Cricetulus griseus: one gene and its partner. The protein of the gene in region 1 interacts with the protein of each later gene in a pairwise test. Links are inferred from orthologs where the notes say so. Each region holds a gene or a part of one and is shown on either strand. Other genes may lie near its edges. The genes, in order: Qrich1 and Hspb8.

Region 1 (3,907 bases):
TAAGTGCTGCTGTGGCCTTGTAAGTTTAGAAACCCAAGTCTCCCTGGATGTCTATGCGGGGCTGAGTGAGGTTCCTGACCAGGCTGGACTTCAGCTCAGAAAATGACTTGTGAGGAGTGTTAGGTTGGAGTTTGCCGGGTCAGGGACAAGTGCAGAAGGCAGAAAGGATCGACCACAGGCTGACTGTTGCCTGGGTTGGTGCGAGCTGCTGGTGAGGCTGTAGGTGAGCGCCTGCAGCTTTAAAGCTTTCCACATTTTCCCTGTATACAAACACGAGGCTGCCCAGGGCCCGCTTTAAGGTGGACCTGACTGTGGCAGACTGATGGCAGATGGGAGCCGACGGTGCGCGTTCCAGAAGCTGTTTTCTCCAGAGCAGCAGCAGCCCCGAGCGTTTTCCAGGGGCGGCACAACTGTTAAGCCTGGGCCCAGCCTTGCGGTTTGGGGGGCCACCTTAACCACGAGGCCGAGGTAGGCCGGGCCACGCCTCGCGCGGAACCGTGCGGCCAGGGGAGGCGCACGCGGGACGCCGTAGGTGTGTTCAAGAAGCGCGCTCCTAGACCTCGGGCAGGAGCAAAATAACCCCGGGGCGTCGAACCCCGGGCCTAAGCCCCTCCCCGCCATGCAGGGGCGTCCGTGGGCGTGGCGCTCCTTCGGACAATCAGGGATGCACGCTCCGCGCCACCAGCCTCCCTCTCGGGCAGAAGCGTTCCCTTTAAGTCCGACCGGCAACTCTCGCGGGATCCGACGCCTAGATTCTCGCGAGAGGGGCACTCAGCTCCCATTGGTTGTGAGGGTTGAATGTAAGATGGCGCCCAGGGAGCTGTGAGGAGAAAATCCTGTCGGTCTTGGAGCGGCGACGGCAGAACCGAGGCCCCGGGCGGTGGAGCGGGGCCGGCGGGTAGCGCGGAGGCGGCGGGCGGTGGCGTCGTGGCGGGTGAGGGCTCTGGCGGGGCGGGGAAGCAGGGAGGGCTGTGGCCCGGGGCGGCGGGCCCACTCCACACAACGGCGAGCGGGCGGCGGGCGAGCGGGCGGGCGGGCGGCGCTGCCGCTGGCCCCGGCGGCTTGGGAAGAGAGCGTCCGGGCTCGCGCGCGGGCGGGGGCGGGGAGGCGCGCGCACGAGAGCGCGCGGCGGCGGCGGGCGAGCGGGCGCGCGCACGAGAGCGCGTGTGGTTTTTTTTTTTTGCTCGCGGTAACGCGCGCGCTGTGCGGTCCTCCCGTTGCGCGTAGCCGCTCGACGTGCGCGTCCCCGCTGACTCTCCGCCGCGGCCCGTGGGCTAGAGCGGCTTCCGGGGCGCGCGCGCGCGTCTTGGCGACCCCCGGCTGTGCGGCGCGCGCCCTGCTGTTGGTCGGTCGCGCTGTCCCGTCCGGGGCCCCGGGTGCGCGCAGGGCAGGGCGCCCCTTGTGAAGCGAGGGCCGGCCGGCCGGCAGGCAGCCTGGGGGACGACCGACTCGCTGCGCGGGGAAGGCGGAGGGCCGGGCCCTTCCCGCTCTGGTGACGTCCGGGGCAGCCGCGGCCGAGGTCTGCAGAGGGACGTAGCGGCTTCGCCGTCCGGCTCGCGGCTCCGCGCCGCTGTGAGGCTGACGAGACCGCTCGTACCAACCGAAGAATGCGCCTGTCTAAGCGAGGCCCGTGTACTGGGTGGGCGCTCGGGGAGGGTGCCGCCCGGCTTCGGAAGCCCAGTCCTGCGGGTCCCCTCGGGGTTTCACCTTGTGCTGGTGCCTTGTGCCAAGCAGAGAAGGGGGACCTCACAGGGCCCCTCGTTAGTACCTGCTTCTCTTCCCTCAGAAACCCACTCGTCCATAAGCGCAGTTGATACACGTCACCTCTGCGTGCTCCTGAAAGAGATCTTGTAATGTGTGTGGTACCAAACTCTCTGAGCTCTAAAAAATTCCGCTTTAGACCCTTAGATGCTGCCCCCCACGCCCCCGCCCGGGTGGGAGGGCCTTGCTTTTCAGTGTGGAATAAGGGCCGCTTCTTCACATTGATAAACTCGATCAATGATCTGCCTTTTTTTTTTCTTTTTAATTTCTAAAGTATCCGGCAGAAATTACTAAAATCTGCCCGTGTCACGGTAAAAACCAAGTGACCGTTATAACTCCTTAGCTTTTCTTTTTTTTTTTTTTTTTTTGTCCCAGCGCTGTGATCTGGTGTCAAGGAAATTCTAGGTTTGTGAAGGAGAAATATGCACCTCTTTTCCAACACAAAACATCTGCTAGTTTATTAGACAGCTTTGCTCTGCTAAGGTAGAGGAAAAGCAAGCTAAAGGGAGTAATAGTAGAAATCAAATTTGATAGTAATGTTTTTTTTTAATACAATGTATTTTTTTAAGAACAAAGTTAAAACTTAAAAAGAGGCTGAGGATGGAAGGAACTTCTTTGTTCTGTCTTCTTCAGAATGTTAGAAGTCTTAAGAACTCAGGACAAGCTGCAGACATACATGCAACATGGTGACTGGTGAGTTAAAATCATTCATATGCTGGAAGTATGTGTGCAGTCCGTTACCCCTTCCTCCCTTGGTAATACTGCAGCTTTACAAATCCTGTCATTCATTCTTGGTGTTGTCTGCTAGAAACCACTAGCTAGCTACTAGAGGGCTGCAGATGTGGGAAACTGTTGCTTGGACGATGGTCCCTTAAAAATCTAAATAGACGAGCATGCAGGATTAACATTACATTACAAAGCATCAAGTAAGAACCTAAATTTTTGGGGGTTTTTGTCTTTTTTTTTTTTTTTTTTTTTTTTTTTTTTTTGTTTTGTTTTTTGAGACAGGGTTTCTCTGTTTATTTCTGGCTGTCCTGGAACTCGTTCTGTAGACCAGGCTGGCCTGGAACTCAGCGATTCTCCTGTGTCTTCGTGTGTGCTGGGATTAAAGGCACGCTTTGTCTGCAAGTACATCCGCACATCAGAAGAGGATATTAGACAGTTGTGAGCTGCTATGCCGGTGCTGGGAATTGAACTCAGGATCTTAGGAAGAGCAATGAGTACTCTTAACCACTGAGCTATCTTTCCAGCTCCCTAAATGGTTTTTCAAACAAAAAACAAAACAAAACCAAAAATTGTCTGATTTATTGAGGATGTGTTTATAAACTTTTTGTACCTTTTAAGCTTACTTACTCTGGATTATCTTTTTTAAAATTCCATCAACTATTATTACCTGGTAGATACCTTTTAGTCCTCTGGGATAAGCTTTTCTATTTCTCCAAGAACTTACACAGTTCTGTATCTCCTTACAAAAGCTTATGTTGATGTTGTAGCTCCAAACAAAAGCTCAAAAAGTGGTTGAATTCTGCTGTGAATTTAAGTTACTTGCAAAAACAAAAACAACACAAATCAAAACCCAGTTAGGGACTTTGGGTGGGGCTGTTCTTTTTTAACAGCAGCTTCAAAATCAAGGGTGTCTTCTGTGAGCTTGCATGCTTTTAGTCAATAGTGGTTTGTACTTGATGTGCCATGCTTCTTACTTCTCTGCTGTTTAAATGGCCATGCTTTATCTCTCTGACTTAGAATGAGGTATTACCTTTTCTTTGCCCCTCCTGCATTTGGTCCCAGGTGTAAGTCCTCTGAGCTTCAAATTTTCCCCTATAAGATTTGATTGTGATTTCTGTTTTTTAGTAGGCTTTTGTCTGTCTGTTTTCGTTGTTTGGTGCAGGGGCTTGAACCTAGAGTCTGCATATGCTGAGCACGCACTTAACACTAAACTACTTCTCTGGCTCTGGGTTGTGATTTGTCTTACTAAGCTGACTTGACTGCATGAAGAGAGAAGATGTGAATTTTTGTTTCCTTTAAACGGGAAAGGAATGGTTCTTTGGACCCACTTAGAAAGTTGATCTTTTTCTCTTTGAGACGGGGTTTTAGGAATTTGGGGCTGACCTGTTGCTGTAGAACAAGATCTTGACCTTCTGATCCT
Region 2 (3,907 bases), about 120 Mb from region 1:
GTGTGTGTGTGTGTGTATATATATATATATATTACAGACTAAGATCCCATATGAGGGATATCATAGTAGGACAACATAGTAACCTTTAGAAAGGACACCAAGAGGGGACTTATTAGGTGATAGAGAAGGAATGCAAGAAAAGGACACACGAGTCATGAAAGAGGCTAGAAAGCAATAGTTTGTGACTGTTTTGTTGTTGTTTGTTCTGTGTGGTGGATATGTGACTAGAAATGTAACTGAGTGAGTGAGGACATAAAACATGAAGCTCCAGTACTTGGGCACGGCCATCTGTATAGAGGTTCACTCTGAGATGGGGACAGGGCAGGTGTCCAGGTGGCTAGCTTAAACCAGCTGTGCGATGTCTTTATTTGTGAACCCATCACAATAAAGTGATTTTATGGAAGGAGAGGGTTAGGATGCAGCTATCCAGCTTGTGTAAGGCTGAGTTCTGCCTCCAGTACCACAGTCAATCAATAAAAGTTTTTTAAAAAGTTATGACTTATGATGGTTTGCTCTGCTGCCAAACAGGACAGTAGTAGAGCCCTTAGCTATCTGTGTGGTGGTGGGTGGGGGAGGTTCCACCGGCTAATGTTTATGAAGTGCTTAAGAGAAAACATTACACAACTGATAAGTTGAAAGTTGAAAGCCTATGAACACAGATCCTTCTACCAAGTATGTGACATCATGCATTCCTGATGACGCATCCCCAAGTAGGCTCCTCTCCTGCCCATTTCGCAGGTGGGAAACAAGCAGCTCAGGCATGCCTGGGAGTAATGTTACCACTGAGCAACACTCTTCCCTTGACCAAACGTCAGCCAGACTCCTCCTCAGAGGGAGGGCCAGGCGTTCATTGCCTTCACCTACTTTTAACAAGAACATGTCAGTTTAGCCACAACCCCCACGGTTCCCTATATGACCACCCCTCCACCCCCATGCCAGATCAATTGCTTTTCCTCTTCTAGTTTTCAGGTGAGGTCTGGCCACCCCAGCCTATCCTTAGAGGAATGCAGTTAGGTCAGTTTATCCAGAATCCCTCAGACCCCTGGATCCCCCTCAGTCATTTCTCATACATTGACCCCCATTCTGCCTCCAGGCAGTGTTGGGAGTTGAGCCCAATTTCTTCTCTTGCTCCAAGACCTTCCTATCCCAATAGACACTCTGTCAGGTTTTTTTTTTTTATATGACTTAACAAGTGTCATTAAAGAAAAATCATGATATGTTGTTGTTGGTCACTCTCAGAAGTCGGAGATACCTTTGGTCAAACTGTAAGTGGGGATTCCATCTACTTTTCAATCTAATGGGCCGATGTCTCTCTTCTTCTGTGGGTCCCCAGGGTGGGAGGCAAGATAGAACATGTTCTGGGGATGGTATTTCCAGAGTATGACCTGAACACTCAGCCAGGCGGAGGGTTATTAATAGTCTGGCTTTAGTGCCCTGTGGGACACTAGTGCCTGGAGTGGACGCTGCTGGAGTCAGAGGGAGGGCGGGGCGGAGCTGAGTACGGGGAGGAGAGAGTGCGGGAGAGGCTGGCTAGACTCGGACGCCACGGCCCCTCCCAGCTCTCCACCCGCTCCCGGAGCCCAGTTGTTCTCTCAGCGGATTCTCAGGGGCTGGTTCATCACCTTCGAATACTCCTGGGACAGGAGGTGCTTGCAAAACCCGCCCCCAGCCCCCAGCAGCAAATAAATACAAGGCTCCCAGCCCAGAAGCCAGGAGAAGTTTCTAGGCGCACGTCCCTGAGGTTTATTAAACTCCTGGCTGTGCTCAAGACCTCAGCAGCGGCCCTGGCTGGGAGCCTGGGAAGCCTGGGAGGCGGGTGACTTGCTGATAGCCTGGTGAGGTGGGACAGACAGAGGCCCTTTGGGATTCTGCTGGGCCTGCTTGGTGGGTCACATTTGTGAGCCAGGATCCCAGCTCCCTTCTGGGCAGCGGATGGTTGGGCTTGTGGCTAACAGAAGATCAGAATTTTCTGAAGCGGAGGACTAAACTCTGAAAACCATCTCAAGCCACATCACCTTGCTGTGTGATCTTGGGTAGGTGGCTCTGTCTCTCTGAGCCTCTATTTCCCCTCAGCTCAGCAGACACCATGGCTGATGGGCAGTTGCCTTTCCCGTGCTCCTACCCAAGCCGCTTGCGCAGAGACCCCTTCCGGGACTCACCGCTCTCTTCCCGCCTGCTGGACGATGGCTTTGGCATGGACCCCTTCCCAGATGACTTGACAGCCCCTTGGCCTGATTGGGCTTTGCCTCGGCTCTCATCTGCCTGGCCCGGAACCCTAAGATCCGGCATGGTGCCCCGGGGGCCTACAGCCACAGCCAGGTTTGGAGTGCCTGCTGAGGGCAGGAGCCCCCCACCCTTCCCCGGGGAGCCCTGGAAAGTGTGTGTCAACGTGCACAGCTTCAAACCTGAAGAGCTGATGGTGAAGACCAAGGATGGATACGTAGAGGTGTCAGGTGAGTGAGGGACAGACAGCCAGGGCGTGTGTGTGTGTGTGTGTGTGTGTGTGTGTGTGTGTGTGTGTGTGTGTTCAACCTAGACGCAACTTCAGTAAAAGGGACCTGTGACAGACAACGTGGCACAGGTGACCTCAGGTCTCAGGAATGCAGCCCACAATGTTATCATTAGAGACACGTGCTTCTCAATGGGGGACAGAAAGAGAATGAATGTGACCCAGTAGCTGGGGTCCTCAGGGCATGGTGCCCACCTGAGAGAACTGGCAGGGACCAGATTGGCAATTTTGAAGTAGACAGTTTAATATGAAGAATAGATTGATTCGTGGAGGACTTCTGAAGACACAGGAACAGGGGTTACCATACCCCAAAGCCACAACACTGGGGTCGGGGGAGTGGGGCAGGATGAATGCTGAGTCGCCATGCTATCAACAAGAGTAGGAAACTGAGGCTGGATGGTTATGACAGCACTACAGCTGCTAACCTTGGTAAAGAGGTGTCTGCCTGGTACCAGAAGCCAGAAACCCAGCATCAGGTAGCACCTGTGTTAATATAGCCAGAGGAGGTGGCTGCATTAACTGTCCACCTGTCCCCTTTGGACTTAGGAAATGGAGGTCAGCAGAGTCTAGCATAATTTGCTCAAGGTAGCAAAGGGTTCCAACCCAGGCTGCCTTGGGAACTGAGGGACAGAAGGGATCTATCTAGCCATCTATTTATTTATTTGTTTGCTTATTTATTTATTCGTTTGAGCCAAGTTTCTAAGCTGAGTTATAAAAACACACAAATTAACCCTACTACCACCAGCACCAGCAACAACAAGAAAAACCAGTTAAAAATCAACTTCCTGTGACCCTTCATCCCCTGACTATCTACTCCCATCTTGCAGCTGAGGAGGCCTTGTCCCAGGTCATCCAGTGAGTCAGCAAAAGGACCAGAGCAGAGCTTAGGCCTGGCCACAGCGTCAGGCCCAGGGCTTTCCCTACCCCATTGCACTCTGGGAGAACGAATCCGCTGGGGGGAAAAGACAGAGGAGACAGGAAGCCTGGCCCCTGGTGAGATGGGCCTCAGCTTTCTGCCTCCCTTCCAATTAACAGGCCATTAAAAAGAACTTGTTCCTGGCAGGGGCCTGAAGCCAGAAAATCAATAGCAAGCCTGCTGTAAGCACTAGCTGAGCAGAGACAAGCCCCAGCAGTGTTCAAGGGGGCCTGGAGGGTGGGGGTGGATTAAAGTCACTTGGAATAGAATTGTGAACATCAAAGGTTGTGAGTGTGGGTGTGGTGGGGCAGGCACACCGGGGCACGTGCTGACGTGGGTGTGGGCTCGGCACTGGCTGGTGAGCCAACACTAGCTCGGCTGCTGGCTAACCAACAGGACGGGCTATTCTTCAGCTGTCTTGTTCCTTTTTGGACATGGAGGTCTCCACTGGTCCTCAGGAAGGGTGGAGGTAGCTTCCAACA

What was found.
Region 2: the proteins of Qrich1 (region 1) and Hspb8 interact in binary tests that used the Homo sapiens proteins (3 or more experiments, as listed by UniProt). The two-hybrid records come from large-scale screens. The link is inferred for Cricetulus griseus from reciprocal best matches to the Homo sapiens genes QRICH1 and HSPB8.

What each region holds. Positions count from the first base shown.
Region 1 is NC_048597.1:216,700,145-216,704,051, forward strand, and holds the start of Qrich1 (glutamine-rich protein 1), read left to right. Parts: upstream 1-1,444; 5' UTR 1,445-1,639; intron 1,640-2,394; 5' UTR 2,395-2,454; intron 2,455-3,907. UniProt on the Homo sapiens protein: Transcriptional regulator that acts as a mediator of the integrated stress response (ISR) through transcriptional control of protein homeostasis under conditions of ER stress.
Region 2 is NC_048597.1:96,474,102-96,478,008, reverse strand, and holds the start of Hspb8 (heat shock protein beta-8), read left to right. Parts: upstream 1-1,559; 5' UTR 1,560-2,086; coding exon 2,087-2,453; intron 2,454-3,907. UniProt on the Homo sapiens protein: Involved in the chaperone-assisted selective autophagy (CASA), a crucial process for protein quality control, particularly in mechanical strained cells and tissues such as muscle. Displays temperature-dependent chaperone activity.